Bombyx mori: one gene and its partners. The protein of the gene in region 3 interacts with the protein of the main gene of each other region in a pairwise test. Links are inferred from orthologs where the notes say so. Each region holds a gene or a part of one and is shown on either strand. Other genes may lie near its edges. The genes, in order: abnormal wing disc-like protein, tef2 and ubiquitin-conjugating enzyme E2 variant 2.

The links.
Region 1: the proteins of ubiquitin-conjugating enzyme E2 variant 2 (region 3) and abnormal wing disc-like protein interact in a two-hybrid assay, tested with the Caenorhabditis elegans proteins (2 studies listed by BioGRID). The link is inferred for Bombyx mori from reciprocal best matches to the Caenorhabditis elegans genes uev-1 and ndk-1.
Region 2: the proteins of ubiquitin-conjugating enzyme E2 variant 2 (region 3) and tef2 interact in a two-hybrid assay, tested with the Caenorhabditis elegans proteins (2 studies listed by BioGRID). The link is inferred for Bombyx mori from reciprocal best matches to the Caenorhabditis elegans genes uev-1 and eef-2.

Annotation. Positions count from the first base shown.
Region 1 is NC_085121.1:5,954,939-5,957,683, forward strand, and holds abnormal wing disc-like protein, read left to right. Parts: upstream 1-1,534; 5' UTR 1,535-1,581; coding exon 1,582-2,046; 3' UTR 2,047-2,125; downstream 2,126-2,745.
Region 2 is NC_085125.1:13,070,971-13,075,312, reverse strand, and holds the start of tef2 (translation elongation factor 2), read left to right. Parts: upstream 1-1,430; 5' UTR 1,431-1,527; coding exon 1,528-1,530; intron 1,531-1,865; coding exon 1,866-2,080; intron 2,081-2,573; exon of another isoform or gene 2,574-2,683; intron 2,684-2,725; coding exon 2,726-2,919; intron 2,920-3,297; coding exon 3,298-3,495; intron 3,496-4,342. UniProt on the Caenorhabditis elegans protein: Catalyzes the GTP-dependent ribosomal translocation step during translation elongation.
Region 3 is NC_085117.1:11,658,707-11,662,385, reverse strand, and holds ubiquitin-conjugating enzyme E2 variant 2, read left to right. Parts: upstream 1-1,335; 5' UTR 1,336-1,578; coding exon 1,579-1,603; intron 1,604-1,696; coding exon 1,697-1,839; intron 1,840-1,908; coding exon 1,909-2,034; intron 2,035-2,117; coding exon 2,118-2,258; 3' UTR 2,259-3,026; downstream 3,027-3,679. UniProt on the Caenorhabditis elegans protein: Involved in protein ubiquitination, but has no ubiquitin ligase activity on its own. The uev-1-ubc-13 heterodimer catalyzes the synthesis of non-canonical poly-ubiquitin chains that are linked through Lys-63.

The DNA of each region.
Region 1 (2,745 bases), on a different chromosome or scaffold from region 3:
ACGTTCAGCAACTTTGTTTCATTTTCCCACATTTGTGCACTTTCACAGATATTAAACGGTTAATAAACCACCGTTATTACACATTTAAACCTGAAGAAACACTAAATAGACAAAATAAAATCACACAACTTCACTCCTCGCGTTCCCGCCAAAAAGTCCCCTGGTGACTGATTTTTTTAAGGGATTTTATGACCTGGTAACTGAGTCCTTTAAGTCATATCTTATTTTAATTTATATTCATATTTTTATGAAAAATGATATTGTGGAGTGAAATGAAATGAAGATGATTAATTTGAGACATTAATCAACTGGCATGAAATGAATTGAAATGAAATGAGATGAAATGGGATGAAATATAATCTCAGTAAAATGGTGGTCATTTACTAAAAAAAATTCAGTGGACTTTTTGGAGGATCCCGAGAAGCTACGTCCAGTGGCTTTGTTTCATTATCCCACATTTGTGCACTTTCACAGATATTAAACAGTTAATAAACCACCATTATTACACATTTAAACCCGAAGAAACACTAAATAGACAAAATAAAACAAATCACACAACTTCACTCCTCACGTTCCCGCCAAAAAGTTCCCTGGTGACCGATGTAGACTGATGACCATAGATTATACACTTATATAATTTTTTTCATGGCATCACGTTGTGCGTATTGCCACAGACAAAGGTAAGGAAACATAGTAGTACAGGAAAAGAATTTTACATCGGACGAAATTGATATCGGATAAAGGATAGGATCAGCAGGATAAAAAACTATCTCTAATACAAAATACTACGCTAAGGAAAAGAACAGTAATTAATAAATTAAATCAAATAGAATATTAATTATATACATATGTACTTATAATTGTATATTATTTACAGTAAGAAATAAAATTATACACTTATTACATTTCTGATGACTGAACGGACGGACCATTTTAGTTCTACCCAAAGAGTAATTTTGTCTATGTCTGTTGCCACATATTTTAGCAGCCTCAATACATACCTAGTAAAAATGAAATTCGAGACCTGTTCCAGTGAAAGAGCTCCCAGTAGCCTGTTCCAAAATAACAGCCTGTTGTGTTGCAACAAGCTTAATAATGTTTTAAGTAGAATATGTTCCACATAATGTAAGTCATACATAAAAATTGTTTTAATACATTTTTTTAAATGACAATCCTTCATTCTTTTTTTTTATTTGATTTTTTTAATATTAATGATATGTGAAACTAGTTTTGCCAAAATGCACTTATATTAAAACATTTAATATGTTATATATATAAGTATGTGTGTGCTATCTTTTTCTATTTCTGTACGTGAAAAGGGGAAAGAGCTTGTTCCAAACTGTTTGCAGTGGAGCGAAACAACGCAACATATAGAATATTATGGAACTGTTGTTTCGGTCTATAGACAGCAGTTCCGAGTTTTTTCACAGACGAACCTGTTCCGTTTAACTGTTCTGATAAATACGCCTTATCCCTAATACCTAGTCTATAGTCTGTAGCTGCCAGCTGCCACCTGCCACTTTTTAAATCATTGCCGGCTGTAGTGCACGTGTAGTTAATTGAGCACGTTAGTAATATTTCATGATGGCGGAACAACGTGAGCGTACTTTTATTATGGTTAAGCCTGATGGTGTACAACGTGGTCTTGTGGGCACCATTATTGAACGTTTCGAAAAGAAAGGCTTCAAACTAGTCGGTTTGAAATTCGTATGGCCATCAGAAGAACTTCTCCAGCAACACTACAGCGATTTGGCATCCCGGCCTTTCTTCCCTGGTCTAGTAAAGTACATGAGTTCAGGACCTGTGGTCCCTATGGTATGGGAGGGCCTTAATGTTGTGAAGACTGGCCGTCAAATGCTTGGCGCAACTAACCCAGCTGACTCGCAGCCCGGCACTATCCGCGGTGATCTCTGCATTCAAGTTGGGCGTAACATCATCCATGGTTCGGACAGCGTTGAATCTGCTAAAAAGGAAATAGGCCTCTGGTTTACGGACAAAGAAGTTGTGGGCTGGACACCTGCAAATGAAAACTGGGTTTATGAGTAAATTTATTTTAATCTGTATATTTTGTCTTGTTCTCATAATTTATGTTAAACATTCTGTGATTAAATGAGACATTTTCATACATTTGTCTGATTATTATTATGTCATTACCTTATTCAAGAATTATAACTATTGCCATTTTTTTCTTAATTTTCTAAATTAAAAAAAATCGTGGACAAATCTTCAAATTGCTAATGTACCTTTAAAATCTATATTCATGATACAAGGCTGGTTCATCTACACTTTCCTCCTTTAATACTTATACTTGAAATTTTGATAAAGTGCAGGGAAGTAGCAGGTACATCTATCTTTAAACAAAAAAATATTATTTGTGACTTTCCATTTTAAAACATATAATCTAATAGCTAGTTTTTTAACAAAAAGTTAATAGTGAATAATAATGTCTATATGAAAGAATTTATAGCCAAAAAGTTATCTGCATCTCTACAAGAATTTTAGCCTAATCCATTGCAAGGTTTCTCATTTGCGGTAGATCCTTAAAAACAAACTTCAATAGTAAAAAATATAATATGAACAGAGATGTCCACTGTAATTTTATTATCATTTAAACTTGGAATTTTATTTTCAGTTTGTTTCAAAGATTTCTTAAGCCTATACCTACCAGAAAATTCAAATTAGTCTTGATGGATTCAAATTTAAAAATTAATAATTACATAGGCTAATATATAAATCTAGTGGTTT
Region 2 (4,342 bases), on a different chromosome or scaffold from region 3:
AAATTGTGAAGATGTAATCTATCTGAAAATTACACCAATAAGCCAATCAAGTCAAATTATTTTACATGATAATAGCATAGACCTTTGTAGACTGTCCCGGCTGATGGGGAGGTGTTTAAATTACTAAAAAGCAGTCAAACCCGACAGGCAAAGGGACATCCTTACAACCAAATCTTTTGTAATAAAAGTAGGGCGTGTGCTATGAAAAGTTTAATCGAAAATGAAATAAATAAGAAATAAACAAGAAAAATGAATATTTTTTTAAAAAATTGTGAAAATTTACTGAGAGTTTATTGAACTTTTTAGTCGAGTCATGGAAACCATATTCAACAATTTCGGTGCATTTTCGTAAATTATCTACTTTACCACATACAAAATAAATAATTAGTCATGATTCTTACACGTTTAAGACTGAAAAACAGTAGCAAAAATATGAACTTAATAAATAATGGGAACGCCAGAAAAAAAGTTGTACGAATTGTTATATTTTGTCAATTTTTTTTTACTAATTTTCTTTTTGCACAAGACTACAGAGGTGGACTAAAAGCTTAAGATCTTTTCTACCAGTCAACCAAAGTTGGTAAAGTATTTTGAAAGATGCATTGCTTTTACTGAAAAAACCTAATTCATAAAATATAGAACGCATAAATATACACAGCTCATACAGCACTATATATATACATCCATACATTCCACATATATTCAATATTTATTATATATTTATGACAAAAAAATTATACAAAGTAAGTCTACTTATTAGATATTCCTGCCAATTCATTTAGCAAAAGTTGCCGAACCCTTCATTGAGAGTTATATACGTGATCAGTGATCATCTTGACATTGAGAGGAAGTAAAATTCAAATTAGAGATGTACGTGGGACAGTCAAGTAATAGATTATTAGAAGAACGCAGAATATATTATGCGAAAAATGTAAATTTTTAAAGTACCGTACCTACCGTGCATGTTGTCAATATCGCTGACGTAAAGCGAGAAAATTTATTTTTAAGCGCTATGTAGAGATGTGGTCATCCTTGCGGAGATTTAAAATAAATCAAAAGCAGTTATTATGAAGGCGGTCGGGTTGTTAAAAAAGGTCTTTCATGTCAAAATAAGAAAGATCAAAACTTGATGACGATGACGATAATCTAATAACCATTTTACTGATATTTTATTTCACCTCATTTCCATCTAGTTTGATTGAATATAGTTTCAATACAATCAGCTTGAATTCAGAAGATCAATTTAGGCCACAAAACACCAAACAAATTGTTATTCAGCCAAATCTGTTACGCGTCATAGTATTCAAAAAGATTACTAACAGACAATCTTGAAAATCGACTAATGCTCAATAACTCGTGTTGACATCTCGGAGTAAGCGTCTGGCAGCATTATATGTTGTCTATGACTCTTTTTATTTGACGTCGACCTGCGACATCCGGCCCTCGCAAGGGTCCTTTTTCAAAGCGTACGCCATTGCTGGCGTATGGTAGTTGGTTTAATAGAACAAAAATCATAAACCATCTAAAATGGTGAGTAAGGAAATCAGTTTTAGTGACCAGTAAAGTATCCCGGTGAATGTTTTCATACGTTTCACGTGCATATTTTATTAATTTGACGGAATAGTTACTGTAAAAGTTCTGCTTTGTTCGGGTCAGGTCTTTGTGAATTGGATGACGTTTTCAAGTGATGTGGTGCTTAAAGTGTTCGTACCGAGACTTCAACAATCACTCATCTCAAATATAATTAAACATTAAACAACATAATAAAACTAAACCTTTACAATATCGTGAATCTAAGTGTTAAATGTCTAAAATCTAACATCTGTGTTGTGTCAGCATGATGAGCTATTATTTCGTATGTGCAGGTGAATTTCACGGTAGACGAGATCCGTGGGATGATGGACAAGAAGCGGAATATCCGCAACATGTCTGTGATCGCCCACGTCGATCACGGCAAGTCAACCCTCACGGACTCGTTGGTTTCCAAGGCCGGTATCATTGCTGGTGCGAGAGCCGGAGAGACCCGTTTCACTGACACGCGTAAGGACGAACAAGACCGTTGCATCACCATTAAATCTACGTAAGTAGCTTCAAAAATACATATTGCCACATGGTGCACCGAACGTCATTGCCCTTGAACTTTTATGAGGTTAAGTTAACGAAAAATCTCGTTATATACAAATTATTATTGCTTTAATGCAAAAGACCACATGAGTGTACCAGCTGCGTCGTTTTAAATAAATATAACGTGCCTTTATAGTAGCTGATGTGTCGAAAAAGATTTCTCAGAAATGGTTTTTATTATTTACGAAATTTGCAAAGGAATCCGAAAAGGTTAGACCACACTGTTAGGTTAAGTTTTAGTTATCATGAAATACACCACGATAGAATCAGGTCAGTCATTTTCTTACTTTGGGATTGCAAAAGTGATTAAATTTCATAAAATTTTAATAATGTGTAGTAATTAAGTAACATTTTACCAACTAATCATGTTTAAGGAAAAGACAAATAATAATACATTAGTAATGTTTTGTTCAACACTTGGATTTAATTTAATAGCAAGTTTACTAAAAATTCTCTGATCTAAATGATGAATGTTCTTTACCATTAAAAGACTGATATGAATATTGAAGATCTTTTAGAACGGCCATCTGATGAATCATAAAAACTAAATTTGGGAATATTAAAAAGTACCATGAGTTTAATATCACGAATTTATTACCAGGGCCATCTCTATGTTCTTCGAGCTTGAAGAGAAAGATTTAGTATTCATCACAAACCCTGACCAGCGTGAAAAGAGTGAGAAAGGTTTCTTGATCAACTTGATTGACTCACCTGGACACGTTGATTTCTCTTCTGAAGTAACAGCTGCACTCCGTGTCACTGATGGAGCCCTTGTGGTTGTTGACTGTGTGTCTGGTAAGTTGAATATTAATTTTTAATAAAAATATCTTATTTAATTCTTTCTCATTGATTTGTTAATGACCAGTAATAGAGGAGCCCTTTATGCTATTTCCATTAAGATTTGAATATGACTAAATATGAAATTACTTAAAGCTACCTTTCAAGGTAGGGTGAAATGCTTGAAAAATCTGATATAATATATATAGTTGGCAGAAACTCAGGAGCTCAGTTTACAATTAACAAAAATTATTCTACTCAAAAAGGGCATTGCACTCGTAAGCTGTAAAGCTCAAAAAGTTGCATCAAAATTTGTCTAGTCAGTTTTGCCGAGACTAACAAAAAAACTTAGCAATGTAAAAATATTATAATGAAATTTAATTTTGTGTTAACCAGGTGTGTGTGTACAAACTGAAACAGTACTGCGTCAGGCTATTGCCGAGCGCATCAAGCCTATTCTGTTCATGAACAAAATGGACCGTGCTCTTCTTGAGCTCCAACTTGAAGCTGAAGAACTATACCAGACGTTCCAGCGTATTGTAGAAAATGTTAACGTCATTATAGCCACATATAACGATGATGGTGGTCCCATGGGTGAGTATTTAAAATAATAACTTCCTATAAAATTATCTGCAATAATCACAAGATTCTGTACAGTTTCCTTGAGTTTGTTCTGGCATTTTTGGGAGTTTCTATAAATTTCAAATAACAAACGGTTGATGGTCACAGCTTTTGTTGGACAACATTGAATCTTTTGATATCATGTTTTGGACACGTGACAAGACGCGCGATAGACGCTAGCGTGTAGCCATCAAGGTCATACACGGACGCACCTGTTATCTCTACGATTTATATTTTGTAGCCATTAAACTTACATTTCACTTTTTCATTTTATTAGAATTATAGAAACAATGCATTTGTGCACAGAAGTAGGTTGTAAAAATTATATTTTATTTGTAATCCAAAATTATAAATTAATAAGTTGAAGTTTATAAATAATAACTAGAATTAAACTCAATAAAAAATATACTGACAGATGTGAATCCATAATAAATGGCATTCAAAGAAAGTTATGGACTTTAAAGGCAGTGTCTTATCAGGCTATTATATTGATGTTCCAAATGGTGGGTAATTTCAAAGCAAATACATACTTATAGCATGCACTATCAGATTCCACAATAAGAGGGATCATAAAGTAATAAAAATAAACCTGTGAAGTAATAAATTTTGCATAAATATGGATGATAGGATGTGTATTGTAAGCTTACATATGTGCATATTTAATGAATCGTCTTTGGGTTTGTAAACTTTTCCACCAGGGACTCCATTATATTAATGCTGTTGAAAATTTGACTTCATGTCTTGAAAGTTTTTCAATGACACACAAACGCATTCACAATTTGATGTCTTTGCCTGGTGGATTTAACACCAGATGGGTCCT
Region 3 (3,679 bases):
CGTACAAAAACGCGCGTTGGAGGTTGAGTCGAGTCGAGTTAAGCTCGTGTAAACGACTAAAGATACGGGTGTAAGGATTTCCATTTGTTTCTGTCCTTTGCTGTACTTATTATTGATTATGATTTGTCTATATTATTGTTTATAATACTAAAATGCAAATCATAGACCTAAAACGAATGAGGTGAAAGAAACCACAATAGTGAAAACACAACTTAGTTCGCTTTCAAATCATGGGATAGAGTCGACCGAGTAGGAACCCGCATCGGTCGCAGCGATCTCTATCGAAGAGCCCGGCTGTGTTTTTTGTGGGGTTGATGTCGATGCCCAACATTAATGATGTGTACTGAGTGAATACTACAAGCGAACAAACAATTCGTTAATGGCTTCCAACATAGAAATTCTGGTCTAAAATACGAAACCCGCTCACGCCCAAAAACCAAAGTAACAACGACGAATTAAAACGACTGTGGAAGTTTTCGAAGTTGCATCAAAACAATATTGGTTCAGTTGGGTCAAATTGGCAAAATAAAACAACTTGATAAGTGCCTACTGCACGAATTGAATGATAGCCAGAACGATGAATGCGTTAAGATCTGCCTTACGTTGCTTAACAGACGCAGAAACAAAATGATTTTAAACGGCATTATCACTTGCGATGAAAAATGGATTCTTTTTAATAAACGTAAGTGGTCAAAATGTTGATTGGACTCTAGTTCAGCACTTAGGCAATGCTTGCGAAAACTTATCCATAAAAAGTCATGGTCACTCTTTGGTCTACTGCCGATATAATTCATCATAAATTCTTACTTTCCTCTTACCTCTACTGCGGATGCCTACTGTAGCACAATAACTGAGAAGCTCGCGAATCTCAGACCAGCCTTAATCGCTCATCCTGGCTGCTTCTACATGATAACGTCCGACCTCATACAGTACAACAGATGGTCTCTGAGCTATATGAACTAGTTGGAAGTTTTGCGTCATCCACCGTACTCAGCAGGCCTTGCGCCGACAGTCTGTTCCTTGTTTCAAAGCCTGGACAAGTTCTTGGCAGGGAAAAAAATAATGCTTGAGAGTCAGTACAAAAATTTTGTTGGCTCTCGTACATCTGACTTCTTCAAGAAGAGCATATCCTATCGATAATAAAAATATAAAGAATGCTTTATCTTTCTGTAAGCCTAAACAGCAATTTCTTAGGTAAAGATGTAATATTTTATAATAAGAGGCACACTTGATTCAACTTTATGCACAAAAGCACGTGAATAAAGTTGAGTTCTCAAATTAGGTGTTGAAAAAAATTCTAATACTTTTGGCTGTCTGCGTTGTTTCTTTCGCCTAGCTAAGTGAATTAGCAAACAAAAAATCTATGGTTAATGCAACTTGTCAAAGTCAACAAAAAATTGCTAACCTTCATTCTCTTTATTGGAACAAAATCTAGTTTAATTAAAATACAATTACTCTGTTGTAAATTGCCATACTTACTTTAAATAAAACGAATCTGTTTAGGTAGCGCCTATGCAATAAAGCTTGACTGAATTAATCTAAGTTTTTACAGTTCTCTAAGCCGGTGATACTGTGATCATGGCGAATCCGTCATCAGGCGTTGGTAAGATTTTTTTTCGATCTATAGATTTTCTCTTCTTGTGTAAACATGTGAACAATAAATATTAACTTTACTTATTTTTTTTTACCAATTTAGTGGTGCCACGGAATTTTCGTCTCTTAGAAGAACTTGAACAAGGCCAAAAGGGAGTGGGCGATGGAACCATTTCTTGGGGTCTTGAAAGCGATGATGATATGACTCTTACTCATTGGACTGGAATGATTATTGGCCCACCAAGGGTAAAGTTTTTTTAAATACTTTTTTTATCTGTGATATCTAAACTACTTTTTTATAATTTAAAATTACAGACACCCTACGAGAATAGAATGTACTCCCTTAAAATTGAATGTGGAACACGATACCCTGATGAGCCACCAACAGCCCGCTTTATTTCTAGGATTCATATGAACTGTGTCAATAGTCAAACTGGACTTGTAAGTATAATGTTATGTTGAATATATTGCCAAACATTACCTTTTGATGAACAAACTATATTAACATATATTTAAATTATCAGGTGGATAATAGACAAGTCCCAATTCTTGCTAGATGGCAGCGTGACTATACCATCAAAACAGTTCTTCAAGAAGTGAGACGTCTCATGACTCTTAAAGATAACATGAAGCTTTCTCAGCCACCAGAGGGAAGCACTTTCTAGTTCCTTCAATCAAGTCTCAACAGGCCCAATCTACTTTCACATAAAACAATAATTTTAAAATAAATTAAATGTTCTCTATATTGGGAAAACTGTCATGCTGGTGCATGTACTGCAGATCAATTATTGCCTTTATAATTTAAATATTGTTCTGAGATGTAGGTTGGGTGTTTATCATATCTGATTCTAGTACCCATTTATTTTATCACATTACCAAAATTATTGTGGCCTTTATAAAAGTGAAACTTGCTTTTGGTAAAATTAAGGCTAGTTTTACTAATTTCTTCATTTTAGGCTAGCAAAACACTAGTGCTATAATATTGTTGTATTAAATTACTCATGGTCTTTAAAACAACAATGTTTAATAGTACTCATAATATGTGGAATATATAATAATATCTCAAACAATGTCTGATAAGCAAAAACATTTATTTATCTCTGAATATTTATCATAAACTTACTATGGGACTTGCTTTTTGCTTAATTATATTTGCTTTAGTTTTCTAATAGTTTTACATGTGTAAACATAGGTGTTTATTTCTTAGGAAAATAAGGTAAATGTACTATTGATTCTTGGTCTTTGTAATTTATGCATTTAATGCAATGTGCATTTGGCATAATCGCCAATTCATTAAAGAGTAAAAAAACTGCAGTAATCACAATATGTATCTGTAAACTCATAGTACCAACCAAATGCTAAGTCAAATTGTTTCATAACATGAATATTTTTACCAATGTAATACTAGCAAAAATAAATCAAATAACACTCAATATATGCCATTTATTTAAAAACTCTGTTCGTCATAGAAGAATAATGAAATATCAGAGTAAGTAAAAGAGATGTTTTTTTTTTTCATTTTTATATACTTGTTATTTATTTTCAAAGGAGTAGATTAATTTTGCTGAAAATACGTTTATATCTTCCTAGGTTGTATCAGATATGCACATTGATTGTATGTTGCTACAAGTTGGTGGGATGGGAATCGGACTGTTGTCATCACCTGGGTCTGGGTTATTAAGAGATGTTGATTTTGGCAACACTCAACATTAGGCCACGGGCCTGTTATACAGCGAAAGAAATGACTTTTGTAACTCTTTGCGTCTGTCAGAGCAGATAGCAAAGTCGTCTGCATCATCCACAAGTAAGTCCACGAGGCTGAGGACTGCACCACTAAGTGAGTCGAATATCAAGCAATACAGGAAGTAACTATGTACTGAGCCTTGATGATGCACCTTTTCTGTAACTGCTAATGGTTTTGTTTGAATCACTATTGTTCATACCACTTATCTCGCATGCATGTATGTACATGTCTGCTATGATGTTACCATAATGTTCGGACACGTTCTTGCGAAGGCTACACCGGGTGGTAGGTATCCCTTGAGACGTGGTCAAATGCTTTCCATGTCTCAGAATGCGACTTGCA